Danio rerio: one gene and its partners. The main gene of each other region encodes a partner of the protein of the gene in region 3 in a complex. Links are inferred from orthologs where the notes say so. Each region holds a gene or a part of one and is shown on either strand. Other genes may lie near its edges. The genes, in order: fgg, f2 and fga.

What was found.
Region 1: the proteins of fga (region 3) and fgg are in contact, whole or in part, in a crystal structure (PDB 3GHG), measured with the Homo sapiens proteins. The link is inferred for Danio rerio from reciprocal best matches to the Homo sapiens genes FGA and FGG. Residues at the interface, in NP_000499.1 of Homo sapiens: Trp60, Asn61, Lys63, Cys64, Pro65, Ser66, Gly67, Met70, Leu73, Ile74, Val77, Asn78, Phe81, Arg84, Ile85, Leu88, Ser91, Tyr95, Asn98, Leu105, Ile109, Ile112, Asp116, Ser119, Arg123, Asp124, Tyr127, Val130, Ser131, Asp133; in NP_068656.2 of Homo sapiens: Thr47, Thr48, Cys49, Gly50, Ile51, Ala52, Asp53, Leu55, Tyr58, Gln59, Val62, Asp63, Leu66, Gln67, Leu69, Glu70, Leu73, Thr80, Ile87, Ile90, Gln91, Tyr94, Glu98, Asp106, Ala107, Ala108, Thr109, Leu110, Ser112, Arg113.
Region 2: the proteins of fga (region 3) and f2 are in contact, whole or in part, in a crystal structure (PDB 2A45), measured with the Homo sapiens proteins. The link is inferred for Danio rerio from reciprocal best matches to the Homo sapiens genes FGA and F2. Residues at the interface, in NP_000499.1 of Homo sapiens: Trp52, Pro53, Phe54, Cys55, Ser56, Asp57, Glu58; in NP_000497.1 of Homo sapiens: Phe382, Lys384, Ser385, Gln387, Leu423, Arg425, Tyr434, Glu439, Lys440, Ile441, Ser442, Met443, Lys470.

What each region holds. Positions count from the first base shown.
Region 1 is NC_133176.1:27,271,581-27,282,018, forward strand, and holds the start of fgg (fibrinogen gamma chain precursor), read right to left. Parts: upstream 6,299-10,438; 5' UTR 6,263-6,298; coding exon 6,203-6,262; intron 6,120-6,202; coding exon 6,066-6,119; intron 5,549-6,065; coding exon 5,365-5,548; intron 3,502-5,364; coding exon 3,417-3,501; intron 3,305-3,416; coding exon 3,174-3,304; intron 2,025-3,173; coding exon 1,891-2,024; intron 1,773-1,890; coding exon 1,588-1,772; intron 1-1,587. UniProt on the Homo sapiens protein: Together with fibrinogen alpha (FGA) and fibrinogen beta (FGB), polymerizes to form an insoluble fibrin matrix. Has a major function in hemostasis as one of the primary components of blood clots.
Region 2 is NC_133182.1:38,962,890-38,973,632, reverse strand, and holds the start of f2 (prothrombin), read right to left. Parts: upstream 6,881-10,743; 5' UTR 6,858-6,880; coding exon 6,737-6,857; intron 6,602-6,736; coding exon 6,444-6,601; intron 6,274-6,443; coding exon 6,249-6,273; intron 5,630-6,248; coding exon 5,558-5,629; intron 5,429-5,557; coding exon 5,323-5,428; intron 5,114-5,322; coding exon 4,983-5,113; intron 4,377-4,982; coding exon 4,065-4,376; intron 2,027-4,064; coding exon 1,919-2,026; intron 1,834-1,918; coding exon 1,707-1,833; intron 1,149-1,706; coding exon 981-1,148; intron 855-980; coding exon 681-854; intron 1-680. Other genes in the region: znf408 (zinc finger protein 408), read right to left, coding at 7,654-9,434, 10,196-10,431, 10,514-10,578. UniProt on the Homo sapiens protein: Thrombin, which cleaves bonds after Arg and Lys, converts fibrinogen to fibrin and activates factors V, VII, VIII, XIII, and, in complex with thrombomodulin, protein C. Functions in blood homeostasis, inflammation and wound healing.
Region 3 is NC_133176.1:11,471,566-11,482,047, forward strand, and holds the start of fga (fibrinogen alpha chain precursor), read right to left. Parts: upstream 5,135-10,482; 5' UTR 5,011-5,134; coding exon 4,957-5,010; intron 3,743-4,956; coding exon 3,629-3,742; intron 3,294-3,628; coding exon 3,110-3,293; intron 2,226-3,109; coding exon 2,080-2,225; intron 1,659-2,079; coding exon 800-1,658; intron 580-799; coding exon 1-579. UniProt on the Homo sapiens protein: Cleaved by the protease thrombin to yield monomers which, together with fibrinogen beta (FGB) and fibrinogen gamma (FGG), polymerize to form an insoluble fibrin matrix. Fibrin has a major function in hemostasis as one of the primary components of blood clots.

The DNA of each region.
Region 1 (10,438 bases), about 16 Mb from region 3:
AAGACACATTTATAACACAATCCATTGAATATTGAGTGCTCTAATGCTCAGCAGCATGTTTGATCTGGCTGAGGAGGTCATGAAATGTTACTTGGCAAAAATCAATTATGGCAGAGCAAAGTCTTGTTTGACAACTGCAGATATTGAACACTTTTGGATTTTTTTTGTGGAATTCATTGGCAGTTCTTGCTTAGGTCTAACTGTTCTTGTAAATCCTAGAGCACACTGCTAGAGGTTATGTGTTTGATTCCCATGCAATGTATGAATTTATTAACACAATCTTTTATAATTAAACTGCTTAAACTGCTGTACTGAACTGTTATCCAATTCTTATGAATTTGTGTACATTTTCATATGATTTGCTCATAACCCAAGTGACAGTAATGTTTATGGTTGGTTTATCATGCTTTTTTTCTCTTCATTTTTTTTATTACAAAAATATTTATACAAAACATAAACAAAAATAGTTACATAGAAATGTTTGCCCTAAATTTAGAAGTGTTTAAAATACATCTTATAGATGTCTAAACATAGACATCTTGGCTAAAACAAGGCTAAATTTGAGCTGTCAGTTAAAATCTAGTTGACACCTTGCAGCAGTCAACAAATAATGACTGAATGGCACCAAAGGGATGAATGACAACACTTTAAAAACATTAGTTAATTCAGGAGTTCACACTTAGATATACTTGACATTAATAGCAGATTTGGCATGCTGTCCTGGGGGAAAACCCTGAGCTCTGAGATAATTGAGCCCTAGGCTCCCGTCAGTCAATAAGCATTTAAGATCTAAGATCAGGTAGGTCTCGAGAGCTCCCCCTGGAAAAGGGAGGAAAAGGAGGAGATGGGGTGGAAGAGGGGATTCTTCAAAAATGAAGATAAGGCAGTAGAGTGAAATTCGGTCTTGTTGTAACCATGGATCAATCTGATTGGATTATAAGTGATTACAGGTGGGAAGCCAGCCGTGACCAGTCATATCATACGCTTTATGGTTATGAATTGCATTATAAGACATTGACGGTGGTTCATTCAGCTGTAGCGAAGAAAATAAAAACCGAAACCGAAAATAAATATGTATATGTACCGTAAATAAATTTACCGAAAAAATAAATGTAGCGAAAATAAAATAAATGAATGAAGACCTTGATCTCTGTTGACTTTTGATGTTAAAAGAAAATTATTAAAGTGCTGGCAGTTTATTACCAGATTTTCAACCATAATTTACAACACCAATTCAGACAAAATGTCAATACAAGTCACCTTTTCAAACTTTTCATCATCAAAAGTTATTGGATAAAAGATCGAGCACTCATAATGTTATTCAAAATGATACATAAATGGCTTTTTTTTTTAAAGTGTACACATGTGAAATCTGTGTAATTTCTTTATTTAATCACTTGTCTATTTTTTGATAAATGATAGATGTCTTATAGATTTATGCAACAGATTTATAGATTTATATAACAACATTTCTTGCTGGGAAATGTCTAACCTGTGCATAAATGTAATGAAATGCAATTGAGGAGCACCACTTGGAAGATTGAAGACCTAAAGCTATGTGTCAAATATGAAAAAGAAAGTTCTCACTTTTTGTTGCCTTCCCAATCGACCATCTCTATCCTCAGCACATAAGGCACGCTGGACTGAACTGACAGCAGATGTATCTTCTCATTTCCCAACCAGAACTCAGTCCTGTCATCGGGTGAGAGGTAACCAAAGCCTTCCTTATACTGGATCCAGTTTTTGCTGAAGTCAACGCTGCCATCCCGCCTCTGAGAAAAACATACATCAATAAAGAATCAATAAAGTTGTCTGTTAAAAGTTTGTTTTGTGCAGGTCATTTTTCGAAAGGAGTTTGTGTCACTGTGCATTTTCTGTTGTGTCTTATACCCTCTGAAGTACAGTCCATCCACGTCCAAAGCTGTCGATTTCACAGTAGACCAGGAATGCTTCAGGGGCTCTGGCTGGTTTCACATAATACAGCCCGCTGACCTTACCACCTTTGTTTGCAATGTCCTGACAATCTGGGCACATGACATACATAAGTTTTCTTATTATATACACTGTTAAGAGTGATTATTGACTTTACTTTAAAAATTGAGTAAACCCGTTTTAACTTGGAACTGTTAAGTTGATTTAACTTTCTTTTTTTTTTTATACGTAGTTATGCACATACAGTTGAAGTCAGAATTATTAGCCCCCCCCTGAGTTATTAGCCCCCTGTTTATTTTTCCCCAATTTCTGTTTAATGGAGAGAATATTTTTTTAAACTCATTTCTACACATAATAGTTTTAATAACTCATTTCTAATAACTCATTTATTTTATCTTTCCCATGACGACAGTAAATAATATTTTACTACATATTTTTCAAGGCACTTCTATACAGCTTAAAGTGACATTTAAAGGCTTAACTAGGTTAATTAAGTTAACTAGGCAGGATAGGGTAATTAGGCAAGTTATAAGACTTTATACCAGAACTTTAATATATTTATTATAAGACATTCTCCTAAAGAAAAAATGTTATCAGACATACTGTGAAAATGTCCTTGCTCTGTTAAACATCATTTGAGAAATATTTAAAAAAAGAAACAAAAATTCAAAAGGGGGGCTAATATTTCTGACTTCAACCGTATTTCATTAAAAAATTTAAGGCAAACTGTTTCGCTCTTATAAAAGTTCCATGAAACTAAAATAATCTATAATCTAGTTTACTCCAAAACAGTGACAAAATTTGTATTTAGAAGATATTAACCTGATATAAACATCAAAAGCTTGCAGTTTGTCACTTATACCTATAAATGGAATAACCCTTTTTTGACGTAACCTCATCCTTCAGTTTCTCATCAAATCTTGACCAATCAAATGCTTTCTAGTATCTGACATGCCCCACCCCCTTCAAGAGGTCTTTCATTTGCTTTTCATTTGTTGCCCTTGAGCTCAACCACTCTCACTGGAAGTGGTGTGAGATAACAAAATGCTCTTGTTTTTGAAGGGGAGGAGCAACTATACCCCACCCTCTATTCATATTTGAGATTACGTCAAACATCAAAAAATTGCACATTTCAAAGCACTTTATGGGTCCTTTAAGCAAAGTAAACTAATATATACTGTATATACTGTATGCATGTCAATTGTCATAAACATGAATTTTGCTCAAGTTTAAATCTTTACCTTTGCCAGTGACTGTCTGAATCTCCACAGTGTCTTTGCAGGGCTCTTTGCACATTTGGTCCAGCTGCATAGACATCTGCTTTAAATCCGTTATTTTTTTCTCGTTAGCTTGAAGGACTGACTGCAGTTGACTGTGGAGAAATATGGAAATGTATATTTTAATGGAATAATATATTTTTACATCATGATTTTTAATTCACTTTTTTATACACTATAATATAGATGAGAAGGAAATTTGCTTACTATATTTGTTCTTCCTGAGCGAGAATGCTCTTCTCAAATCGTAGTATATCATCCAGCATATTTGAAGACTTTTTAATGTAAGTATCTGACAAAAAGATAGTAAAGAAAATTAAGGTTTACAGGTACTGAAAAATAACAAATTTGGTAAACGATAAAATGATTTTGTGGGGTGGCACGGTGGCTCAGTGGTAAGCACTAGTGAGTCCCTGTTAGACCAGCTAGGATTTCTGTGTGGAGTTTGCATGTTTGCATGGGTTTCCTCTGGGTGCTCCAGTTTCCCCAACAGTCCAAACATTTGTGGTATAGCTCAATTGGACAAACTAAATTGGCTATAGTGTGTATAAATTAATGTATGGGTGTTTCCCAGCACTAGGGATTCATGGGTTAGTGTACTCTTGCTGCTGGGTTGCGGCTGGAAAGGCGTCCGCCACATAAAATATATGCCAGAGTAATTGGCAGTTCATTCTACTGTGGCAAGCCCTGATAAAACAGGGACTAAGCCGAAGGATAGTGAGTGAGAAACAAAATTCCAAGTAATTTTCAGAAAAATGGCATGTTGTCCAACTAACCCCATTTTATTTATGAGTAAATAAAAATTAAATAATAAAAATAAATAAAGGTGAAGCGGTGTCACAGTAAGTGCTGTCGCCTCACAGCAAGAAGGTCGCTGGTTCAAGACTCGGCTAAGTCAGTTGGTGTTTCTGTGTGGAGTTTGCATGTTTTCTCTGCATTCGCGTTGGTTTCCTCCAGTTGCTCTGGTTTCCCCCACAGTGCAAAGTCATGTGGTACAGGTGAATTGAGTAAGCTAAATTGTCCGTAGTGTATGAGTGTGAATAAGTGTGTATGGATGTTTCCCAGAGATGGGTTGCATATGCTGGGTAAGGATGCGGTTCATTCCGCTGTGGCGGCACCAGATTAATAAAGGGACTAAGCCAAAAAAAATTTATGAAAAGAATGAAAATAAATAAAGTGAAAAATAAAAATAAATTAATAAAGATACCTGCTGATAATAAATAAGCACAAAGATACACAAACACATAGAGGCAGCACCTTCAACCTTGAGGTGGATGGGCTACAGCAGCAGACAACAACGGGTGCCACTCCTGTCAGCTAAGAACAGGAAACTGAGGCTACAATTCACACAGGTTCACTAAATTGGACAATAGAATATTGGAAATATGTTGCCTGATCTGATGAGTTTCGATTTCTGCTGCAACATTTAGATGGTAAACTCAGGATTTGGCATCAACCACATGAAAACATGGATCCATCCTGCCTTATATCAACGATTCAGGCTGCTGATGGTGGTGTAATGGTGTGACCACAGTGTACCCATCTTCTGATGGTTACTTCCAGCAGTATAACGCGTTGTCATAAAGCGCAAATCATCTCAGTCTGGTTTCTTGAACATGACAAGGAGTTCAAATGGACTCTACAGTCACTAGATCTCATTCCAATAGAGCACCTTTGGGATGTGGTGGAACAGGAGATTCGCATCATGAATGTGCAACTGACAAATCTGCATGATGTTATCATGTCAATATGGAACAAAATCTCTGAGCAATATTTCCAGTATATTTCCATATTTGCAGTACCTTGTTTCCAGTACCTTATTTTCAGAACCTTGTTGAACCTATGCCATGAAGGAATAAGGCAAAAGGGGGTCCAACGTGGGACTAGTAATGTGTACCTAATAAAGTGGCCGGTAAGTGTATACTGTATATATGTGGTGACTTCTGATAAATCAGGGACTGAGCCAAAGGAAAATGAATCAAGGAATGTGTTTGCGCATATGTGTGCAAATATACACATACATATTCATTTGTATAAATATTTGTTTAAGGCTTTAGACAAATGCAATTACCTCTGCCTGATGCTTACACCATATGGCAATTTTTATGACATTCAGGGCTTAAATAATATCATAATTAATGATAAATTGTGCTACCTGGTGATTGTTTTTGTGCTTGTGCTTCTGAATCTTTCAGGTAGACCACTTTGTCTTGAGCTCCTCTGGTGAGGTTGGCGATCTCTTCCAAATCCTGTTCCATATCATCCAGCTTTTTGTCCATATCAGGCTTGTACCTCTGCAAGTAATCAGCGACTCCACATGTTGTTGGACAGTATGTTCCCTGAAAAAGAGAGGAACCAAGTGTCAATCTTACTATCAAAATAAAATCGTACAAAAATCAGCGTCCCTTCAACTCATTTTGTTGATTATAACGTTATATCAATGCATCTACATTTCTAATTCTCATATGATTAGTACAGTAATGGGAGACTGGTAAATACTTATTTTAATTGGTTGACCTGTGCTTGCAAACTAATTATATCGTTACTTATAGTCAGTAGAATGTCTATAGGGAGATCATCACAATAGAAAGTCATAACAGAAATTGAAAAAACAGTAGAAACAGAAGAAAAAAAGTCAAACATATTTGGACCAAGTAGAGGGAGAGCAAAATGTGACATAATTTGTTATTTTTGGGTGAACTATCCCTTTAGGCAGACAGTCTACTAATACTTTAATGGCATTAATAAGTAAGGACATTATTTTGATGGTCCATTTGAATATCCTTTTGATATTAATTAAAGTGTTACAGAGTTTATTAGTTAAAAAAATCCAAAACATAAAGAATTTGTACTTACAAACCCATCATTAGGGTTGCACAAATCATGTGATGGTGAGTAGTCTCCTCTTTGCTTAAAATAAATAAGGGAGAAAAGAAAATGAGTAACAAAGACATTATAATGTTTTATAATAAAATATAATAACTGTCACTCACCGCTGATGTTAATGTGCACAGCAGCACAATGGAAGCAACCACATGCATGATCGAGCCCATGTCGGACCTGTCTGTGTGGTATACCCTTGAGATTGTGAGTTTCTGTTGACTGTTGCAGGATATTTATCCGATCAAGGTCCTCTTTGGAGATGGAGATAACGGTTCACTCTTCAAACAAGAGCTAAAACCACCCCTCTATTACTCACTGTGTGACTCCAAACTAACCGTAAATGATGCATATATACGTTGGTCAACGTGTCCATCATGTTAGTACATAGTGCTAGTGGATCAGGACATTTAAGACATTTAAAATGATTTATTTATTTACAGGTTTGATTTTTTTTTCCATCAAAAACAAAGTTTGGAGATTGTAGAGTAAAGTTGCATTAGAAACCTTTTTTAACAGTTTAACTAATAATTGTGAAAACAAGAATATGTTCTCATAAAATAACATTCATTTTGCTTTCTTTGAAACATACTATTTTATTAACTGTTTTTCACAAAATTTACTTTGAGACTAACTAATCATTGGTTTCCCACTACTGTATCCCTTGATTTTAAAGGATTTAAATCACTGCATGTCAGTATTTGTAAATGTACTTATGCATTGGCCTAAAACACATAAACAATCAAACAAACTGATTATTTGCCTTGACGCAGCAATGAGCCATTGCTACAGAACTTGTGGGTCACTATCCAGTCAGTTTTAAGTTAATGATTTGTCAATTTTTCTTTTCTAGTGTTGGAAGATTAAATGTTCCACAAATACTTTAACAACATGTACCCACACACAGACAAACATACACTTTTGCTGACATACTGACTCACCAGTAAGAACAAAAATGCATTTTTTTTTCAAATGTACTGGTAATGACCAAAGCAAAGTATCAATAGTTAGTAAATAAATAAATAAATAAATAAATAAATAAATAAATAAATAAATAAATAAATAAATAAATTTCCTTCTTTTTCATGGTAATAAGCAAAGCAAATAATATAAAGCTATTAGAGAAAAAAAGAAGCAAAATAAATTAGATTAACATTAAATTTAATTTCAAGATCAAACACGTTAAACATTAAATAGCTAGTTTCTTTCTTTTGTTGGACACAAAGGAATATACACCAAAGAATGTTGGGAAAAATCAGCAAGAAGCAATAAATACATAAATTTAGAATCACTTGAGTGGGAATAAATGAGGAGGAAAAGTAGAATTAAGAGTTCTAAAGTTCTAGAGGTTTTAATAAAGTGCTGTTCGACTTTGTTTGAGTTTTTAAAGACTGAATACTATGACTTTTTAGTCACTTTAAATATTAATATGGTTGCTCAATTGTTTTTAAGGCTACAAACATCAGTACCAAAGCTGATCTGGACTATGAACATGTCTTAACCGAATGAACCACTAGGGGATGTTGCATATCAAAAATCTTGTGCAGCTGTTAAAAATGAATGACCTTTATTAAAATGAATTGAGATGAACTACTACCCTATGCCTTGGTAATCTTGATTTTAGATGAATGGGTAGAAATCTGTTTGTATTGTACGTTATTCATACTGTATTGTCTGTGTTTAAATAACAATAGTTTCGTAGCAGATAATAATAATAATAATAATAATAATAATAATAATAATAATAATAATAATAATAATAATAATAAAATAATAATAATAATAATAATAATAATAATAATAATAATAATAATAATAATAATAAAAAGATAATAATAATAATAATAATACACATTTCTTCCACATTTGAGAAATATAAATCACAATAACTTTTTTTTTTTGAATACTGACACTAAAAAATCTCCTGAGAAGCTTTTGTTGTCAAAAACCCTAGGTACATTTGCTGGTTTATTGAAGCTGGTTTTGTAATATTGAAGTGTTTGTATTCTCTTTATTCTGTGTGTCACATGTGTGTGGATTTTAGGGGTGGGACTAGTAAAGTGAGTGAAAATATTGCCAATTGAATTTTTTTCTTATTTTTTTTAAAGAAAGGTGACTATGGGCTTCATCGTTTATGTGAATGCAATGCAATGCAATAAAAAAAAGAAAGAAAGAAAGAAAGAAAGAAAGAAAGAAAGAAAGAAAGAAAGAAAGAAAGAAAGAAAGAAAGAAAGAAAGAAAGAAAGAAAGAAAGAAAGAACTGGAATTGAGGAAGATATTCAGACTGAACTGGATTATGGGGCCAGTGGCCTTGAGTCTTAGACTGATCCGGGGCCCCATTGCCTGAGAAGGCTAATGAAAGCTAACTCTCAGCACATATTCAGCACAAGCTGATTCTAAGGTTTGTTGTTTCTGTATAATATGCATTTTGTCATATTACAACTGAAACCAAAGTGTGCAGAGACCAAGATCCAATGTGCACCAGCCACATATCTTTGGTCAACTAAAACAAGCCAGTTGTGACCAGAATCAAACTGAAAGTTTTGATGTTGACATTTTAAGAGTATTTTAAGCACTGGGACAGCTCTTCCCTAACTCAGTACAATTTGGGACTGCATGATATTACAGAAAACATTGACATTGTGCTATTAAATTATTCTGCCATATAAATACAAATACAATTTCACCAGATGACTTGAATTGCTCTATTGGGAAAGAATGAATCATTTTAGATTGACTGAGATTATTTCATAAGGGAATACATTAGCATAAAAGTATAACAAACTAATTACAAGCATAGAGAAAAACATTAGAGCAAACATAGAGATTAATATAAGTTTTTTTTTTTCCTGGGGAGTCTAACAGTAACAGATATAAATACATACAAATGAAGGGACAGCATGTCATTTTAACAAATAAAGGCATAGTTTGATGATGTTATGAGTGTGGAATGGGAGTTGTTGTCTTCAATGCATCTTACAGGACTCCAGAAGAAATCATGTTCATGGATGAACTAAAGAATTTAAAATGAAGCAGATAAGGTTGTAAACCATTAAAGCGAAACAGGGTTGCTGAAACAATTGCTGATGGGGGATGAGCACGAGGCACCATGAAAGCAGCAAAGCTTTAATTATGACAGTCCACTGCTTCTGGTTCTTCTGGTAGGGATCATATGGGCAAGAAGCAACACTGTTTTATCATTTTAAATTTTCTGTAAAATTTTTGCTCTGTGCAATCTAATAAAATGTGTAGCACAATAAAGAGTTTTTGATGTTTCCATGTTTTAAGAAAGCTAATCGAAAATCAAGGATGTGTGATTTTATTAACATGTTGACACAGGAAACGGTGTTACAAGTAAAAATTGCTTATTTCTGTGGAAATGAACATTCTTCAAAACATTTAGGAAAATGTTATAATATTCATATTTTAATGAAAAATCTAACATATTGTGCCTTTAATCTTTGTCAAATTTTCAAACAAGTTCAATCTCTGAAACTTGCAATACTGTCAAGTTTCATACAGCTCCCATCAATAGCTTTATTTAAGCAGCTTCCACATAATCCAAAAAAATACAATGAATTTTTTTTTACATATTAATTGTTTGCATAACATATTAGTAGCCTATCCACACATGTGGCTTTTCTAATTTGCTCTGTAGCTCATCTGGAACATTGTTGCACATGCAGATACAAGTTTAACAGATCCTGCTGAGGCTTTAGTTGTTTTTAGCTGGTCATCAGTTTTGGCAGGCTGAACACCATGCTAGCTAAAACTTGTATATTTTTGAAAATGAAAATATGTCAAAAATGTATTTCAAGAGTAAGAAAAATACATTTTCAACATTGTGGATGAATTAACATAGAAGAGATAAAAAAAACTATATTCACAACAAAAAAAATTAAGAAAATAATGCTGAATTTAAATTGCAAACATCCTCTCCCCCCATGTTCTTTTTACAATATTGTGTTGAAACATCTTAACATAGATGAAGTTCTAGTAAAGTAAACTGCATCTGTTCAGTTTTCACAGTTGGATTCGGCTCAGTTCAGTGTAATATAACACAGCTGAAACACCAAAGAGCAACTCCAGCAACATGCATGTCCACTATTCTCTTAGATTATAAGGTAAATTATGAGTTTAAACAATACATTTCCTTGCCTGCCAACGCAACGGTGTTGCAGTACAATCAAAGTAATTGATACTTTGTGTAGTACTGTAGACATGTCACTGTTTAGAACACAGGTGCCAAACTTCCGCAGCTCTGCACAGTTTAGTTCCAACCCCAATTAAACACACCTGATCAAACTAATTGAGTCCTTCAGGCTTGTTTGAAACCTACAGGTAAGATT
Region 2 (10,743 bases), on a different chromosome or scaffold from region 3:
TTGATTTTAAATCCCATTTTATAAAGAAAACATTTGGGCTGCATCTGAAAGCCCTATGATGCTGCCTTCAAAAGCAGCATTCCAAGGCGAGAAGGTAACAAGGCACATCAGAATGTAAATAGTTCCTGTCTTGAGAGGAACCTTCAACTAATCTATGTTTTCATCACTGCTTTTATATTCTATACTGCTGTGACATTTCAAGCGGCATTTCAAATTTCAGTAATTTTGCTTGTAAATGTACAATATTTAACCAACATGTTCCACTTTTGATGGCATTTCTTGTGGGGAAGGGAGTTTAGTAGAAAGGAAACATTCTCTTTGTTATCACCAAAGCTCTCTCTATCTTGTTGTGCTTGTACATGAATCATTATGCTGTCTCAGAAGTCTGTCTGAAATCAGTGTTATGAGGTGCCTTCATGCACAAACGCTGCCTCTAAGGTCAGTGCCCGATAGCAAGAAAACAAGGCAGCTGACTAAGCTTTCGACACAGCCTTGTTATTCTAGCCAACTGTCTTTTCTACATGACAATATTTATACTTAAAATGTAAAAGACCTTTATAAAAAAAGATTAACATTTTACTATAACCCATATCTAATAAACTTAGCTAATCCAGAGAAACTACAGTGCCCTGCAGGTTTATACATGGATTATATATATTATACTATCGGATTTTCCTTACTTCTTTGCAATGCTCTTGGTGGGCAGACAGACAGGGTGGATCTCACTCGTAAAAACGACAGGCTTCTTCATGTGGAGAAGAGCAATGTCTCGGTTTAGGTTTTCTTTCCAGTTGTATTTAGGGTGGACAATGATTTCATCAATGGCCACAATCTTCTCGATGCCTCTCTCATACCTGATTAAGAGAGAAACAGGAAAATGTTCAGCAGCTCATTCTGTTAACTGAGGGTTATTGTTTACTTTTATTTCAGCTTTTAGAACAAGCAAAAGAAATCCATGAAGGAATTTTTGGAGGGCTCACTTAGTACGAGAGTGTTTTCCAAGGCGGACGATGATGTCATTGATTGTGAAGTTCTTGTTCCACGGCGGGTAGAGAATGCAGTGGGCAGCGGTGAGAATCCATTCATCACTGATCAGACTGGCTCCACACAGCAGCTCCTGAGGGCTACGCTTATACAGCATCACCTGCCTGCAAATCACATCAAACAACCATTGCAAAGAGGCTTTTTATCACTTTCCAGAACATTTACAGTTACTGTTCCTCACTGAAGGAACTCTCTCCAATCACATACAGATTTCTGAAACACAAGCAATGTTAAAAACCTATAATAGCTTGTATTTCTCTATCAAAATGAGAAGCTTTGTATTTGAAGCACTGTGAGTATTGTTTCTTTACAATGAATCACTTGATGTCTCCTCTTTGTAAGTCACTTTTTATAAAATCACCTGCTTAATGTCTAAAGCAGGCATGCTTAACCCTGTTCCTGGGAATCTACCTTCCTGCAGAGTTTAGCTCTAACCCTGATCAAACACACCTGAACTAATTAAGTAGGATCTGAACTTGTTAATTAAAGACAGGTGTGTTTGATCAAGGTTGCAGCTGAACTCTGCAGGAAGGTAGATCTCCAGCAACAGTGTCAAGCACCCCTGGTCTAAAGGTAAGGTAAACATGTGGCATTAGCTGTTGTCATGACTGATGTTGCCAAGAAATCTGAACATTTAAAAAGAGGCCCTGTCATGTTTTTACCATGGAGCGCTAGCCACTTCAGCCTCGTCTCCTCCCACAATTCTGCTTCCAGTATAGGACATCAGAAGCTCCTTCTCATTCTTGTCTGCTTTGTTGATCTTCTCAAACAAGGGGCGCTCTCCACAGTCTGTAGAACAACGCGGGAGCATCATATTAATTATTAGTGGATCGTACAAGAGCTCAGACCTTTAGTGAATGTATTAGATTCTAACCTAGCTCTCCGTTTCCAAAGCTGCGGGGGTTAAAGAAAGCTTTCCTTTGGTCTAGAGTTGTTCTTTCTCGTCCACCACCTTCCTCCACAAACTTGTCCAAAGGAGCATCTGAGAGTGAATGACAAAGGCAGGATTATGTATGCTGTGTGTGCTGTGTGATTTATGAAGTTTTGTTTAAGGATTTGTAAATTTTTTACCATAATATTTTATTCACCCTTATTTCATTTCAAACTGATGATCACTCTGAACATAATATATATATTAATAAAATCTTAGAAATGTTTGCCCTGCTTCATTCACCCCAAACTTTGATACTTAAAAACATTTATAAAGAGATTAAAAAACAAATCCACATGAGTTTAATGCAAGGTTTGGTTAGAAAATCTTTACATTATATATTAACAGAAACTCAACCATACCAGATTGGTTCTTGTGGGACAGAAATCTCTTAGATGTATGGCATAACATTTTAACATTTGGTCTTAGTCTAATCATACTATTTATTTTCACATCACTAGTAGTTTTACTAGCACTTCAGCTACTATGATGATCTTTTCTATTATTTAATAACAATTATTAATAGGCTACTAATGTTTATTTTTTTATTTTTAGGTACCTTGTTCTTATGGTTATTAATTGCAACTTCTTATTATAAGATACTGGCATTTATTCACCGGGTACTACCAATTAAACAGATACTAGTGATTCATTTGACACTAATATCAATTCATTGCATTTTATTACTTCAGTTTCAATAGTGACAACTAGATATTTGCTGGTGAATTTTTTATAGGCTATTTATGAGTTATTATTTAATACAGTTGTGACTAGTACATATTTGTTATATACACTCACCGGCCACTTTACAACTGTCCAACTGCTCATTAATGCAAATTTCTAATCAGCCAATCACATGGCAGCAACTCAATGCATTATGGCATGGAGACATGGTCAAGACGATCTGCTGCAGTTAAAACCGAGCATCAAAATGACTTTGAACATGGCATGGTTGTTGTTGCCAAACGGGCTGATCTGAGTATTTCAGAAACTGCTGATCTACTGGGATTTTCATGCACAACCATCTCTAGGGTTTACAGAGAAAGGTAAAAAAAAATATCCAGTGAGCGACAGTTCTGTGGGCGCAAATGCCTTGTTGAAGCCAGAGGTCAGAGGAGAATGGCCAGAAGAGCTGACAGAAAGACAACAGTAACTCAAATAACTACTTGTTACAACCGAGGTAAGCATAAGAGCATCTCTGAATGCACAACACATCTAACCTTGAGCCAGATGGGATACAACAGCAGAACACTACACCGAGTGCCACTCCTGTCAGCTAAGAACAGGAAACTGAGGCTACAATTAGCACAAGCTAACCAAAATTGGACAATAGAAGATTGGAAAAAATGTTGCCTGGTCTGATTAGCCTCGATTTCTGCTGCAACATTCGGATGGTAGGGTCAGAATTTGGTATCAACAATATGAAAGCATGGATCCATCCTGCCTTGTATCAATGGGTTAGGCTGGTGGTGGTGGTGGAGGTGTAATGATGTGGGGAATAAATTCTTCTCATGCTCTGGGCCCATTAGTACCAATGGAGCAAAGCCACAGCCTACCAGGGTATTGTTGCTGACCATGTCCATCCCTTTATGACCACTGTGTGGCCATCTTCTAATGGCTACTTCCAGCAGGATGACACGGCATGTCATAAAACGTGAATCATCTCCGACTGGTTTCTTGAACATGACAATGATTTCAAGATAAAAAAGATACTAGCTTCTAAAATAGATATAGAAAATAAATACTAGTATGTTGTAAAGATTAAATGTAAAGTCTGCTTGCCCTATCAGATATGATTAAAAAATATTCAACTTCTAAAAAAAAAAATTAAATTCCTTCCTTTAGTGTTCTAAAGAAAGGAATTGAGAAATGATAATGGTATTTTAAGGGAATCTTCATTCTGGGGTGAACTAACTCTTTAACAGTTGACATTTAAGAAGTGTTTTTGCCTCATTAAAATCCTGACATTTAATCCTAATTAATTAAGTCTGCTGCAGAACTCCCTTTCAAGGGAGATCCTAGGTTCAATGCAAGGATATGAATATTTTTAGTGGTTAATGAAGTTTTAAAGAAAGTACTGTTCACTCACCGCACAACTCTAAATCACAGTAATCAATGGTAATGTTTCCGCTTGCTGCCTTTATGTAACACCAGGGACCCTCCATATCTCCATCTGGGTTTCTGCAATGGTTCTTCACCAGCTGAACTTGAGGCAGAAGTTCTTTCTTCTTAATCAAGGCTTGTACTTCTGCGGAGCTCCACTGCAGGCAGGTGTGTAGCCCCAGAGTCACAAACAACTCCCCGGTGTAGGTCTCCCCGTTTCCAGGCAGACATTTGCTTATCACATGACGCTGCTCAGGTTTTGCAGTAGGAGCTTTTGGAGGAGGAACAACAGCCTCACCTGAGGAGGAGGAGAGAGAGAGAGAGAGAGAGAGAGAGAGAGAGAGAGAGAGAGAGAGAGATGGTATTCAAATGCAGCTCTTTTGTCCACTTTTCTGTTGGGTGTACCTTTTTGTTCAGTAATTTACATACTTTACAACAAAATAAAAACTCTTTAAGTATGACAGACTAATTTTTTGTTAAAAGTAGAGTAAATGTAAAACCTGTAAAAAGATAATTAAAGGCACTCTGCAGACAATCTTAAAGGGATAGTTCACCAAAAATGATAACTTATTCATGATTTACTGAGCCTCAAAAAAAAAAAAAAGCTGAAAGTCAATGAATGAATAGAGGTCAATGGTTACATATTTCCAGCTTTCTTCAAAATATCTTCTTTTGTGTTTAACAGAATAAAGAAATGTTTAAAACGAGTATAGGGTGAGTCAATGATGTTTGGGGTAAATAATCCCTTTAACTCAAGCCTGGACTGTGCAATAAACACAATGCCCAAACAGGTGATGGTAACAAATGCTATAAATAATACAGTTTTGATTGATTTCAAATTTCTGACTGCCAGTTACTGCACTTTAGTACATTTTGCTGTTATGTTTTAGTAAGTTTTCTCTACCACATTTTGGCACATTGCAGGTCTCCCTCCTGACAGTCGGGTCTCTGGTAAAACACCAAGGGCCATCTTTGTGCTTATCTGGGTTCCTGCAGAAGTTCTCCGGTAGCTTCAGCTGTGTCACATTAAATTCGCTGCGGGGGAAACAAATGGATCATAAGACAGAGGAACATCACTAAAGGCATGTAAAACAAAACAACCTTTTCTTTACTGAAGGCTTTTGTGTTTTCTATTCAATCAATATGAAATGTTTTTCCCCACTGGCCAACACTGGGAGATGACACAGTTAGACACTGTTAAAGGTGGTTCAGTACAATAAAAATACGAGAGTAGTGGTGCATACTCAATCTTGTGGGGAAAGTTGCTTTTCCAGTACTGGCATGCCTTTCCAGACTTGGTGACAGATACTTTACCAGCATACTTTGCTCCAATATTTATGAAACAGTCCCCTATCAATCACACATTAAACAATTTGGGTTATTTTACAATGTAGAAAGGACTCACCTTAACAGAATGTCTCGTTTTGTTACAACAAGCATATTCTGTTACCAAAGTAAGCAAACATGCATCCCACTTACCCTCTGTAGTCGCACATATTCTCAAACTGTTAATATTTTGGGGTGTTCTGGACAGGGTTGTTCCTTCACAGCCTTTGAGCAGATGAAAATGAAACAGAGTAATATTTGACCGACATTACAGAGTTGCCATGTCAGCAGTTTTAAAGTGAAGGTTTGACATTTTACATAAATTATATTGATGCAGATATTAAAATATTTTAGTCTAAGCAATTAAATTCTAATGATTCAACTGTTGTAAATCACAGGTCAGAAGACAGGAGTGGTAATCTATTTCAACGACAAAAAAGTATCTAAAAATTATTTTTTTAGTTGTCAGTATTTTTTAAACACCTAATTTTAATATATTTTATTATTATTATTAATAATAATAATACAAAAATCAAATAACTAAAAAATAGAGCATTTCAAATTGTGGCATCCTAATGTAAGATTATTTTGTTTGTAATCACTCCTCTGTTTTTTTATTTTTTTATATAAATTATGTGTAACTAAATGTATATTTTTATATAAGTAGCATATTTTCAGTTCTGGTAATTTGTTTGATTGTTTAAACACTTGTTTTTAATTTGTATATGGTGCAGAGAAAGGTCAGTAAAAATGCACTTTGTCCCTGGTTCAATAGAAACTGTTTACACAAAATGTTGTCACTGTTTGCACTCAAACTTTCTGTAAGGTGATATATTTTACTTACCTAAATATTTCGCCCAAAAGATTTCCTGCAATTAAATAGAAAAAAGGAAATGTTGAGCATGAAATACTATTAAATCAAACCAAACTGAAATCCTATAAAGACACGTGACTGAAAGAGGTCTAATGAGAGATTTTGTTATTTTAATATATTTTAAATCAGGACTACTGAGCCTATAACAAAAAGTGAAGTACTCACCGTTTTATCAACTCTCTCAAACACTTCTCGAGCTTCCTCATGGTCACAGATCTCTTCCACACACTCTCTCTCCAGATTACCAGGCTTTAACTCCTCAAAAACAGTGTTGGCCCTCTTCGCACGAATAATCTGAGAGGCTTCCTTACTATCGATAAACACTGCAGCACAAACGCAAACAATTCTTAATAAAATATCTAGATGCATTATAATACTTTATAATCCTATCTGTTCTTTATTACAAGGACCTAACAAGAAAAAAAGGCAGATAAACTTTACAGTGTATACAGTCTTACCATTATGACACAGTGTGAGATGGAAAACTTGTCCAAAAATTAAGAAGAGTAGAAGAGGTGCTAGTTTGGCTCCCATCCTTGAGAGTGACTGAGCCTGTAATCCTGAAAAAACCTGAAGCATCTCATGGAATCTGTTGCCTACTCAATCAGAAAGCCCACAGCTGCATTTACTAGAGTCACCAGGTTAATATTGAACTACCAGAGTTCAAAGAGAACAAAGTGTCTGTACTTGTTTTACTCAAAAGCCTCTTCTGTATCAGAACACCATTCAGCTTCAAAATGGAACATTCCTTGCTTTCTGAGCAACATGAATCACAGATATAATTATTTAAAACATGACAATGACAGCTTCATATCTCTAATGATATGTAAACTGATGTGTGAAAACATATTACGCTATTTCTTATGTTTATAATTAAAACAATATGCTTCACAGTACACACAGTGCTTTGCTATTTAAATATAAGATATATTTAATTATTTAAAAGTATTTATCTTATCTATGTAGCTGAAGAACTCTGTAAGTCCTCATGGTATCTTCTTCTTATCCATCCTTTTCATAATAATCATTAGGTACTTTTTGTAAAAAGAACAAACACAGTGTTTCACTTTAATAGTTTAAGTGTGAATGACGCGATCATTTGCTTCAACTTCATCAGATTTTCCTCAAAGAAGAAATAATTTCCCAATGCAGTTGTGTTTTCCTGATGTACTCATACAATGTCTGTATAAACATTGATGAAACAAGGTCCACTGCTCACTGAAGTCAATATTTACTGATATGTGCCGCAAACCCTCCCAAATATCAAAGAACAGCAAGACTTAAATTCAAAAGGGAATCATTTTATTTCCGATTTCTCTTCCTTTTTGTGTGACATAATGTGAATAGATCATATTTTAAATGGAAAATCCTACCATCATACCACTGTCTCAATTTCTACCGTCTCTGCCACTGAACTTAGCCCATCCTGCCCTTGGATTATGACCAAACAACTATTAGCATCTTGCTCTGGGAGTACAATACAGTCACTACTGGCCTCCACTGTGCATTCAGCATTAACTTCCTGTTCTTGAAGGCTTAAACCTTTAGAAGTCTGTTCTTGGACTACTATATTGGTGTTTTCATCAGAAATAAAAATCTCAATAATGTCCTCACTGAGCTCAATCCGATCGAGCTCCTTCTCCGCTCCCTTTCCCAAAACAATCGTGCCATGTTGGTATGTTCCAGAGTCCAAAATGATCCCTTCTGTGTGGGTCACCATAGTGAGGTGGTCTGAGGCTTGAGCGCATGCCACAGCCTGTCCTGCCTCCAAACCGCTGCTCTCAGTCCTACCAGGTTCTTCTTCTTCTTTCTGGCCTAACCTTTTGGGTCTGCCTCTTGTTGGCAGTGCATGTCCAGAGTCTGGCTGGTGCAGCTGCAGATGCCGCTGTAGACTCTGCATCATTGAGTATTTTGCTCCGCACACCTGGCAAACGTGTTGCTTCTCCTCCAGGTGGGACTTTAGGTGGCGTCGTAGCTTGGTTGCCATCGTGTACCCTTTCCCGCATTGCTCACATTTGTAAGGTCTGTCTCCCGTATGGAGCCGTTCATGAGCGCGAAGCGTGTGAGGGTCCCGTAAAGCTTTACCACAGACAGGACAGAGATACACCTCACCCGTGTGTGAAATCAGATGCCGACGCAGTTCGGGTACTTGAGAAAATCTCAGGTCGCAGTGGTCACACCTGTAAGGTTTTTCTCCTGTGTGGATGCGCATGTGTCCTTGCAGATTCCCACGTTGGCGAAAACACTTATTACAGTGCGGGCAGATGTGCGGTCGCTCTCCGGTGTGCAGACGCATGTGGTTCCTCAAAGAACCCGAATTGGCCAGCTCTTTGTCGCACTCTGGACACTTGACCTTTAAAGCCTGGTAGTCTGGCTCTTTTGTCCGATGGATCTCTCGGTGGACTCGTAGCGAGGGCCGACGAGCGAATGCTTTTCCACAGATGTCACAGACAAACGGTTTCTCTCCTGAGTGGAGAACCTGGTGCTCCTTGAGGTCCCGTTTCAAGCCATAGCTTTTGTCACATTGCTCGCACTTAAAGGGCCTCTGGCCACGATGCATTAGCAGGTGGGCTTGGAAGCTCTCATGTGAGCTGTAGGACTTGCCACACTCTGTGCACGTGTATGGCTTCTGATTTTGATGAGTGTATTTGTGTTTCTTCAGATGGCACAGTTGAAAGAAGCTTTTATCACACTCCTCGCATTTGTACTTCCTCTCTCGGATATTGAAGGGAGGGAAATCCTGCCCGTTTTGCTTTGTGCTGGATTCTTCTTTAACTGTCAACGGCTGCATTAAGTCGTCTTTGCTATTCAAGAGCTTTTTCTTGCTGCTTAGATCTGGCTTGTTCTTTGGGTCGTGTCGTTTGTAGATGCGTTTGGCTGATGAGTGCACTTTTCGGGGTTTAGAGGCGAGGCGAGAGCTGGTTCTCAGGCTTCTTTCTGGTGTGAGACATTGTGATGAAGTCTGGGCCTGTGATGCACTCACATTGATGCTCTCAATCTCTTCTGTTGCAGGAAGTTCATCACTATGTTCTGCTTCACTTTCTTCCATCCCATTCTGCTCAAGGACATTGGAATTACAGATTGTATTGTCCTGCACAAGACCTTTTACTGTAACTGGAGATTTTGTATCCTGTTGTGTGACTCTTTGAAGAAGATCTGATAGAAGAAGAAAAAAAAAATCACATTTTCAAATGAACTACTTTATATCAGTGGTGTCAAACTCAATTCCTGGAGGGCCTGCATAGTTTAGCTCCAACCTATGTAGACCAGCTTAATAGTCTCTAGTTGCTTTGAACACCTTGATTAGTTGGATCAGATGTGTTTGATTAGGTTTGAAGCAAAACTGTGCAGAGCTGCGGCCCTCCAGGAATCCAGTTTGAGACCCATGCCTTATATAAGTATGTATGTGATGTAGACTTTATTTTTAGTATTGATTGTGTTCAGCACTTTGGGCAATGTTGTGTTGTAAAAATGTGCTATATAAATAAACTAAATAACTAACTAACTATAATGGACCATTTAAGGCACCAACACACTTCAACATTTTACTGAAAGAACAAACTGACACGGTTTCGGCATTAAAATCAGGACAGCACAAGTTTGATTGGTGTTTGTTTCTGAAATTTGGTAAAATAGCTTGGTAAACACTTTCAAACTATTATTGGTGTTATAAATTCTGCAAAAATCCACACCACTATGATCAGATGCTTTCTCAATAGCCATTTTCTTATTGCTGTAATATTAGCTGTGTCTTAATTATGTTATTGGAGAGGAATAGCATACATTTACATATTTATCTAAACGCTGCTCTCAAGATGAAGTCCAGCAATAACAAGTGTGCTAGCAGTATGCTAAACACTGCAGGCACTATATCTGGCCCTTTAAACAGATATAATGAATATTGTGTATAAACTCACATGGAGAGCCTGAGAAGTGATCTGAAGTGTTGGCCTCCAGAGCTTCATCTTGTTCTCTGTTTTCACATGTTTCTACTTGAGGCGTTTCTTCTTCAGTCACAGCTTCTGGATGACTTTCCCAAAGGAGCAGTTCTGTTCCTGGCTGAATATCCCTACAGACCTTAAGGCCTAGTCTTCCATCCACTTTAAGTACACTGACATTGCTCTCTTCTGCACTCTGAGCACTGCAGGCAAACCTGTGAAAGCAGTTCTACAATGTCATGATGATATCCAGTAATGTAATAAATATACTAATTAATGAATTTTAGATCAACTTACTGCATCCAGCACACTTCATCAGAGATTTCTCTTTTGTACACACTCTGGCTTGCGTTTTGCAACCCCTGAAAAATAACAACACATGTTTTACTTATTACTTGAGGACAATTTACCCATCATCACGGTTAAAAATAGCAATTACTGACACTGTACAACCCAAAAAATTAAGGTAACTCAAACCATTTGAGGAAACCGATTGCAACAAACCATTTTAGTTCAAAAACTAATGC
Region 3 (10,482 bases):
CTCCTTTATAGTAAATGCCATTGAGGTTGGCTGACTGGCAGTTATTATACCACCACCCTCCACCATACATCTCTGCACAGTTTTCCTCCCACTTATCACTGTCCCTATCAAAGGTGCTAAACTTCATGCCAGCATGTGAAAGGAAGGATCCAAGGTTGGGATGTCCTCTCACTAACGCATCTCCTGCATCCCCATCATAATCGGATGCAGTCAGCGGGAAACCTTCAGCCTCCGAGCCAACTTTAATGTTGTACTCAGCGTAGGCCTCAGCTCCAGTCCAGTCCTGCAGCTCCACCCTCAGAAGACTTTCTTTCTGAGTGAGAAGGTGCAGGAATTTGTTGCCAATCCAGATCTCGCCCTTACCCTGCTTGTCTATCTGTCCGAAACCATTTAGATACTCCTTCCAAGTGCGGTTGAAGTTAACAGACCCGTCCTCCCGCTGTTGAACCAGAGTCCATCCCCCCAACCCAGTGCTCTGGTCACAGTAAACCTCTACTACCTCCTCAGACCCCGCTGGTTTTATTTTGAACATCCCGCTCTGACCGCCGTTCACATGCTTCTGCTGGATTTCAACGCAATCTGAAAGAAGATTACACACCTGCCGATTAGAGCAAAACTGCATTGCAAATTCATTCCAGAGATCCAAACAATTGCTTCTTGGTGAGTATTAATAAATGTGATGGATTGGTATTTACTTAGATATCAGTTAGTCCACATGTTTCCAACAAACTCTTGTTAATAGTGTTATCATTATGTTTATCAATGGTTCACTTGTGTTAAGAGTTTCACTCGAGTGTACCTCCGCCAACAAAGCCAGCCTTGCGATCGTCTTGCGATTTCACACTGCGTGCATGGATGTCGGGCATATCTTCTTCCACGTCGCCCCGCATGAACGCCCCGAGGTCATCCCCAAAAATAGGGTCGCTAGTGAGGGTGGTCTTTGAGTAACTTTTGCTTCCATCTGACACTGTCTTTGTGGATGTTGAGGATGAAGATGAGGCATACTTTCGGTTGTCAGTGCCAAGATTCTTAAAGAAGTCTCCTCCGAAGCCACCCAGATCAGAAGTGCTGTGGCTTAGAGAAGTGAGGGACTTTTCATCACCGCCGGTCACTGTTATTTTCAAGCCATCGCGACTCAAATCTTTCCCATCTTTGGCTGCCGTCAAAAACTCTGAATCTGAAATTCCTAGTTTTCCTAAATCATCACACCCGGGCCCGCTAGACGAAACTTCAACCTTTTCCACGGGGCCATCTTTGGTGTGTGTTATCACTTTGCGAACTGATTTGGTGCACTGCTTGCTGGAGGTTTGTGATGTGGAGCCCGTACCTGATGTGGGAAACTTGCTAACTGTGGCGGCAGATTCGGCAGTGGAGCCTTCAGCTTCCAGAGAGAGCTGCATCTGGCCTACATCTCCAAAAAGCAGCTTCTGCTCAGCTTTGCCCGTTCCGCTCTTATAAATGGTGGGCACCAACACATCCTTCAACGGCCTGCTCTTCATGATTCCCAAGGAACTGACAGTCTCCACGCTCTGTACACGCATGGCGTTCAGATTGTCCATTTGCTTGTCCAAAGTCACATAGCTTTCCCTGTCCACCGAGAACTCGCTGTAGCTGGCACAAGAGCCTTTGCATGTGCGTAGTTTGATGTCAATGTCAACCTGTGGTAGGAGATAATATTGGAAAAGTTTACTTAATGATGCCGTTGTTTCCAGAAATCAGTGTAGAGATCAAATTTCACATAAACCAAGACTCCGTTTTAGCTAAAACTTGGTTAAGACTTATGATAGTTCAACCAAAACCTGTTTGAGTTTCTTTCTACTGTTGAACACAAAAGAAGATACACTAAAGAAAGCTGTATACCTGAAACCATTGACATCTATCATATGAAAAACAAACAATTGTACCCATTGACTATAGTATTTGTTTTTCATATAGATGTGAATGGTTTCAGGTTTACAGCTTTTTTCAAAGTCTCATCGTTTGTGTTCAACAGAAGAAAGAAACTCGTAACCCGGGTGGATAAATAATAAGTAAATTGTCATCTTCATGGTGAAATGTTTCTTTAAATATTTTGCTCACCTCAAGCCGCTGCATTACAACAACTTGATCTTTGACCTGCGACTTCAGAGCGTCCAGAAGTCGAAGTTGGCGGTCAATTTTAATCTTGATATCAGTAATCCTCTGCCTCAGTTGTTCGGCCAGAGACATATACCTGTTATCATAACCTGAGGAGAAGAAAAATGAGGATTTGTAGTGTGTTTTACAAATTACGGAGACCCGGAAGGGAAGTGATGGTGGGGGAAAATAATGGATGTGATAAAAAAAGAGTGTTGGAAAATTTATATATATAGATTTAAAGTTTTTGCGTTCCCTTGTTGCTGACAAACACTTCTTGTTCACTTCATACATGTCAACCCTCCCATTTTTGCCACGATTCTCCAGTATTTTACCATTCTATCCCGCTATCATCCTATCATTAAGTATTTTCCCATATTTCTCCCATATTTTTGATCTTGAAAGCATGTTAAAAATAATATAAAAATGCCTGCATTCACTTTCTTTCTATTAAAGCTGTGCGTCGATCGTAGCCCTTCATATGCTACCTCTGAATCAGCGAATGCATGTATAAGCACTGACTAACGGAAGCACTATATGATAAACTGATCCCAGATCACCTTTTGTACACGGCATTTAAAAAGGAGCTAAAGTGCAGGACACTTTGGGATTCGGTTGTGTGTTTAAACAGACAAATAACCTTAATATGTAAACATGTCCGTCCTGCATGTTTTTATTTCTAAACACAACTAATTTTCTCCTAAATGAGCACAAACAGTTACTGAAGTAATCGAATGCCGTCATTATAGATCTGTGCAATCTTAAAATGACACCTCGGTTATCAAACAAAACCAAACTAGATTCATTTGCTGCTCTTCACTTGTTTGATAACAGAGGTGTCACTTTAAATGGCGTGTACAGAAGTTGATCTGGGATCAAAACAAAATAAAAATCCCAGTTCCACTCTCACCATTACGTTTCTTCCGGGTCTCCGTAACAAATGAACTTAATCATGGACAAAAATGATCACAACTGAACCAAAGCAAATCCTTACCACTGTTAGAGGTCAGTTTCTCTCTCAGGTAAGTATAGGTGGTTTTGGACACTTCATCGGCAGAGCGATATAGTTTCTGGCCCTCCACCAGGAGACGTCGAATCTTCTCAATCTTCTTGAGGAGATCATGGTCAGCTTTGTCCATGAGGCCTTGAACTCGGCAGCCAGATGGACATTTGCTTCCCTATATTGAGGATTGAAAGAAACATTTACTGCAACAAATTTGTTGATAGAGATTTTTGTGTTTTGTCTAATTATTGAGTCAATATTTATGACTTATATAATATATAGTAATAGGTAGTATATGAAGACTTCTAAATGCCGTCTGAAATTTTTTATCCAGCCAACTCGAATGTTTTACACTCAATTGTATGGGCGTAATCAGTGGTTATCAGCTGACAGATATGGGCCAGTAGGGGTCCTCTGCGCATATAGGCTTAGAAGGCTGTTATCATTCATCCACATGATGGTGGATGGATGGAATGAACGAAGTGAAGAAAAACAGTGAGAAACCCATACCCAGTCATCATCGGTACACCCTGGCCATTCTTTTGTCTGGCAGGTGTCTTGTGCCTTGAAGCCGTGCTCAATAGGACGAGCGCCTCTAGGGTTCACCACTGTGTCCTCCTCGGCCTAAAAAGTAAGTACTTTATAACTACTTAGGTCTGCCAACATAGGCCATTTTAACATACAGTGCTCAGCAAATAAGTACACCCTTTTGAAAACTACTATTTTATCCATTTCTCAGTGAATGTAGTCAAGAAAATACATTTAAATTGAAACATGTCATTCCAACAAAATTTGATCTTTTTTATTATTCTATTGATTTTTAATATTAATTAAAATTTTATAATTTTTTTTTTTATTAATTTTACTATATTTTAACTAATTTTTAGACTTTGATCTCACGATTTTTTTGTCAGATTAGTTCCAGTTTTGGCTTAAATAAATACTAATCTAATGTATATGCACAAATATATTATTGTAGAGCATCCTATACACTGTAAAAAAAAATATACAGTTGAAGTCAGAATTATTAGCCCCCTTTGAATTTTATTTTCTTTTTAAATATTTCCTAAATGATGTTTAACAGAGCGAGGAAATTTTCACAGTATGTCTGATAATATTTTCCTTCTAGAGAAAGTCTTATTTGTTTAATTTCAGCTAGAATAAAAGCTTTTTTTAAATTTTTAAAAACCATTTTAAGGTCAAAATTATTAGCCCCTTTAAGCTATATTTTTTTCCGATAGTCTACCGAACAAGCCATCATTATACAATAACTTGCCTAATTACCCTAACCTGCCTAGTTAACCTAATTAACCTAGTTAAGCCTTTGAATGTCACTTTAAGCTGTATAGAAGTTTCTTAAAAAATATCTAGTCAAATATTATTTACTGTCATCATGACAAAGATAAAATAAATCAGTTTTTAGCGATGAGTTATTAAAACTATTATGTTTAGAAATGTGTTGAAAAGATCTGCTCTCCGTTAAACAGAAATTGGGGAAAAAATAAACATGGGGTCTAATAATTCAGGGGGGCTAATAATTCTGGCTCCAACTGTATATATTGCTGCCTTCATTTTTTGTTGTTGAATTAAATTAACTTTTCTAATCATCACAACTTATATGCACTTATGTAAAGTTAAAATTGCATATCTTATGTACTTTGAAGTCCATTCATTTTGAGTTCTGTGATGTGTGTAGTCATTTATGCTGAGCACTGTACATATTATAAAATTAATTGGATTTAAAGTAAAATCACATATGCATAAATATAAAAATAACACATTAACACAATAAAAAATACTGATCTTTTTTTAAAAATAGAATGCATTATATCACTCACCAATGCAGAGGACACCGCCACGAACAGGCAGAGCAGTGAATGTGTGAACTTCATCTCCAGCCTCTCTGTGCAGAATACAGACTGTCTCTGCTCTCACATCACATATGAACCTTTGGGATTGATCAACACACTGACTCACTATTGACCATCGTTCTCTGCCCCCACAATCTGGAACAGACACCTTTCAGAAACAAATATGGAGAGAGAGAGAGAGAGAGAAAGAGAGAGAGAGAGATGCAAATTACACAACATTTAGCTATTATCAACTAGCTTACGGGAATGAGAATATAGGCTGTATGCTTGTACAAGAAGTGACGCTGACTGAAGACTAACTTTCAACTTTACTTTGGGGCCTATGAACAGATAAATGGAATATAATTCAATCAATCATTATTGCTTTATTAAAAAAATAATGATAATAATTTAAACATTGTTGTTGTTTTAATGAAGCTAAGGCTTTTATTTAACAATCAACTATCAAACGTTACATTACAAAAACTAGGTATAAAATAAATGCTGTTCATCTGAACTTAGGCTAATATATCACAACCAATATGTTGTTTCATTGCTTTTATTTCCCCTGCAAAGTATCTGGGGAAAATGTATCTTGGAATCCACATATAGCCCATTTAGCAGCACAACAGTTTTTAATGTTGATAAAAGTCTTTGAGCAGCAAAATGTATAAGAAAGCTTTCAGATTTTGTAAATAAATACAGGAGTAATGATGCTGAATTTTCAGCTTTGTATAACTGACATTCAATCATCTTCTTTTTGGCTTAGTCCCTTTATTAATCCAGGGTCGCCACAGCGGAATGAACTGCCAACTTATCCAGCACTGTATTTTTTAAGCAGCGGATGCCCTTGAAGCCACAACACATCCCTGGGAAACATCCACAAACACACTCATTCACACTTACACTCGACAGATAATTTAGCCAACCTAATTTACCTGTACTGCATGTCTTTGGACTGTGGGGGAAACCGGAGCCCCTGGAGGAAACCCACGCGAATGCAGGGAGAACATGCAAACTCCACACAGAAATGCCAACCGAGGCTCGAACCAGCGACCTTCTTGCTGTAAGGCGACAGCACTACCTGCTGCGCCACTGCGTCGCCCATAATTAACAGTATATATATATATATATATATATATATATATATATATATATATATATATATATATATATATATATATATATATATATATATATATATATATATATATATATATATATATATATATATATATCAATAAAAATTTTAAATGCTGCCTTGGTGAACATTTTCAAAAACATTTTACTCAGCTTGTTAAGTGTTCAGTACATCACAGCAGGTTGTTTTACATTTAAACTTTATTTAGCAAATTTGGGTTGTGAACTAACCATTGCTTGTTTTCTGATTCAGAAGGGTTTCTTTACATAGGCTACATTTCGTATTTGCAAAGAGGATACATCATCATTACAATTTCCACATACAAAACATAATCAGCACATAAGGTAAGCACATAAGGTCATAGAAAGGTAGCAGAATGCACTCATGAGGATCAGTTCTGGGACTGCTCTTTTTAGTTACACAATCAATGTTTGTTTTAGGTTGTTGTGAATGTGGGTTTTAGCTCTCGTTGCACAATACAGATCACAGCTCGTCTGTTAATGAATCAATGAAAGCTCAACATTAGCATTAGCATTCACATATAGGCCTACACAGTGCATGTACAATAAGCATTCAACAAAGTAGAATCATCATTATGAATGTTTGATTTGGAAGGATAATTAAAAAAATAATTAGTGTCATTCAATTTATCTTGTTAGGCTACTTGTAATATTTCTGCACAATCTGATTTCTGAACAAGAAAATGTCTCTTTGTTTGTATCATTAATGGAGAAATATAACAGAATGAAAGATTGTGGGGGCAAAATTTTCCTTCTAAAATCAAACATTCAAAATGATGATTCTACTTTGTTGAATGCTTATTGTACATGCACTATGTAGGCCTATATGTGAATGCTAATGCTAATGTAAAGCTTTAAAAAAACAGGCATAAAATAAATGCTGTTCTTATGAACTTAGGCTGATATACCATGATCAATATATTGTTTCATAGTTTTTATTTCCCCTGCAAAGTATCTGGGGAAAATGTATCTTGGAATCCACATATAGCCATTTTAGCAGCACAACAGTTTTCAGTGTTGATAAAAGTCTTTGAGCAGCAAAATGTATTAGAAAGCCTTCAGATATTGTGAATAAATACTGGAGTAATGATGCTGAATTTTCAGCTTTGAATAATTGACATTCCCTTTATCAATCCAGGGTCACCACAGCGGACTAAACTGCCAACTTATCCAGCACTTTTTTTTAAGCAGTGGATGCCCTTCCAGCCACAACCCATCCCTGGGAAACATCCACATAAGCTTATATAAACTACATAAATTATAAATAAATACATAAGTTATTTAAATTACATAAGTTTACATGTTTCAGGCTATCAATTAGAAACATGTTGGCTATTGCAGAAATTGTCTGTGATAAAATTATACAATAAACTCGTATATTATTATTAGGTTGGATGACACAATGGCTCAGTGATTAGCACTGAGCACTCACTGGGTCAGTTGGCATTTCTGTGCATGTTCTCTCCGTGTTGGTGTGGGTTTCCTCCAGGTGCTTCGGTTTCCCTCACAGTCCAAAGACATGCACTAAAGGTGAAATTAATAAACTAAATTGGCCGTAGTGTATGAGTGTGAATGAGTATGTATGGATGCTGGAAGGGCATCCGCAGTGACAGTGTAAAACTTATGCTGGATAAGTTGGCGGTTCATTTTGCTGTGGCGACCCTTGATGAATGAATGGACTAAGCCAAAGAAAAAATGAATGAATGAATAATTATAACATTTCATAAAGGCTTTTAGGTCCTGTTACACTGAATAAGCTCTGTATATGTATTAATCATTGAATTGATTTTTTAATTGCATAACATTTGGAATATTTCAATCAGCAGGACTTAAAAGACAAAAATCAATAGGACAATAGTAGCTTAATTTAACACGGTCAGAACTAGTTTGATTTCATATAGGCTGTATTAAAAGATGTAAAGCAAAAATCAAAGTAGGCTTCGGAGATTGAATCACTAATATTTTGCCTTTTTTTCCTTCACAAAAGTTATTTAAAACATTAAAGTCGACACTTACCTCTCATATGAATACGGTTTGTATGTTTATAAAATCATATGGATTTGTACACTTCATTTAATCGCTCTACAAAAGCCCTGTATATGCCTATAGGAACTACGATAACACCTATTTGTCCTACACGGATGAAATTGCGTGTAGTACGCGAATGTACTTTAGACAGTCAAGTTTACTTGTAGTAAATACAATCGTCTCTTCGCAGAAATAATTATAATAATAATTTCAAGAATAAAAGCGTTCGGCGACCATGGCGAATCTCACGCGCGTGTCTGGGAGTTTGCATCGACTGACGGTGAAAGTTTGTTCAACCTCTCCGCTGCCTTTCTGCGGTTACAGTGTTTTATATCCACACAGTTTAAGTAACGTTAAATCTGCAACTGTCAGATGTTTTGCAAGAGACTCTCGTCACAGACACAATATTAGACATTACAGCTCTTCTGCACATAAAACTGTTCGTATTGGATGCGCGTCGGGGTTTTGGGGTGACACTGCAACGTCAGGTATTTATATTACATGCATTAATTTTATATGATTTGACATTGACGATGAGTTAAATTTTTCCTATGCACAACAGTTTTGACAACGACGTTTCTGCAATAAACAAGTGATTAAAACCATCTATATGTAGTTTTTCTTTTGAACGACCACTAGATGTCATTAAAGCATAAGCCTTTTCAAACTTTCCCGTTTGATTTTTAAGACAAATAACTTCAAATCAGGTAAATAATGTTGAAAAAAATCTAGTTGTTATCACCATTCTTCCCTACGACTTATTAAGTTAAAAATACTTTCCTTGTCACTCTATAATTCATAATATTACCAGCCAAATTAAATAATAATAACTTATGTAGAATAAATTGTAATAATAATACAACGAATTAATAAAATACAATGTCGTAACAAAAAGATTCAGAATACAGATATAAATAAAACTTTTAGGAAACCTTTTGTGATTATTAGTGCAGCTGAAGTGGAGATTTATGCATATATGTATATGTATGTATGTATATATATATACATATATATATATATATATATATATATATATATATATATATATATATATATATATATATATATATAAATAAAAAAATATATGTTATTTGCTACTGAAGTCTACAGACACATAGTAGATTAGATTAGATTCAACCTTATTGTTATTACTCATGCACAAGTACAAGGCAACGAAATGCTGCTTATGAGCATTTTATATATGTGCAGTGGATATGTACAATTCAAGATAAATTAGTGCAACGGAGTGCGATGAATATAGTGCAATTTTAATTGAACATTAAATTATATATTAAATAACGCAGTGTTTATTTAAGTGGATAGAGTGCCATAAAATAAACACTTAAAGGTGTATTTTGGATGTTTTCTTTCAATTAAACTGAAAAAGTACACCCCATTTGGAAAATGAATATATGTTTCCATATCTCAGTGAATATAGGCAATGTTTTTTGATGCATTTGAACAAAACAGATTTATTTAACACACATATTTATTAAAATAATATTTAAGTCACCAAACATATTTAGAAATAGAAGGATAATACAATTAAGTTCAAGCAAAATATTGCAAGTTTCAAAATTTCAGCTAAATCTTTACATTTTTTTTTCTTCTCTTGATTTTTCCTTTTTTTTAAATTTGTATTTAATATTTTTCTATAACATATAAATTTGGGTGTGCTAGTTTTTATACCATTATCTTAAGTTATTTTGTTAGATAAGCTCCGGATTTGGCTTCAGTACTGACTAATCTAACGTATATGCTGAAATATAATATTGTAAAGCTTCCTATTAAAAATCTGAATTTAAAAGAGAGAATTGTGAGGGGTGTACTTATATATGCTGAGCACTGTATTGTTCATAATCTTCGACTAACGTTCAACATAAAGTGTCCAAATTTTTGGAAAAACTAAAAAGTTTTGTTTGGAAAAGTATTTTTACGCAGTGTTTCTCAGTAATTATTAATTATTTTAATTTGATTAATTTTTACATTTTAAGTGTGCAGTACATGTCTGTTTGCTCCAGTATTTGTCTTATTAAATGTCTGTTCTGCGCAGTTCCTCAGCTCATATATGGTGGGAAGCTGGACTTTCTTGTGTTTGATTATTTGTCTGAAATCACCATGTCGCTGCTCTCAGCTGCCAAAGCTAAAGCACCAGTAAGTTGTTTCTCCATTTTACACTTATTGATACCTGATGTGACTATAAGACATGTCGAAATGATTTTTTTAAATGTATGAATATATCTTTAATTATTATGACTTGTGTGTGGATTGACACAAAGAATGCTGTTTTTCTTTCTTTCAGCAAATGGGATACGCTCCTGATTT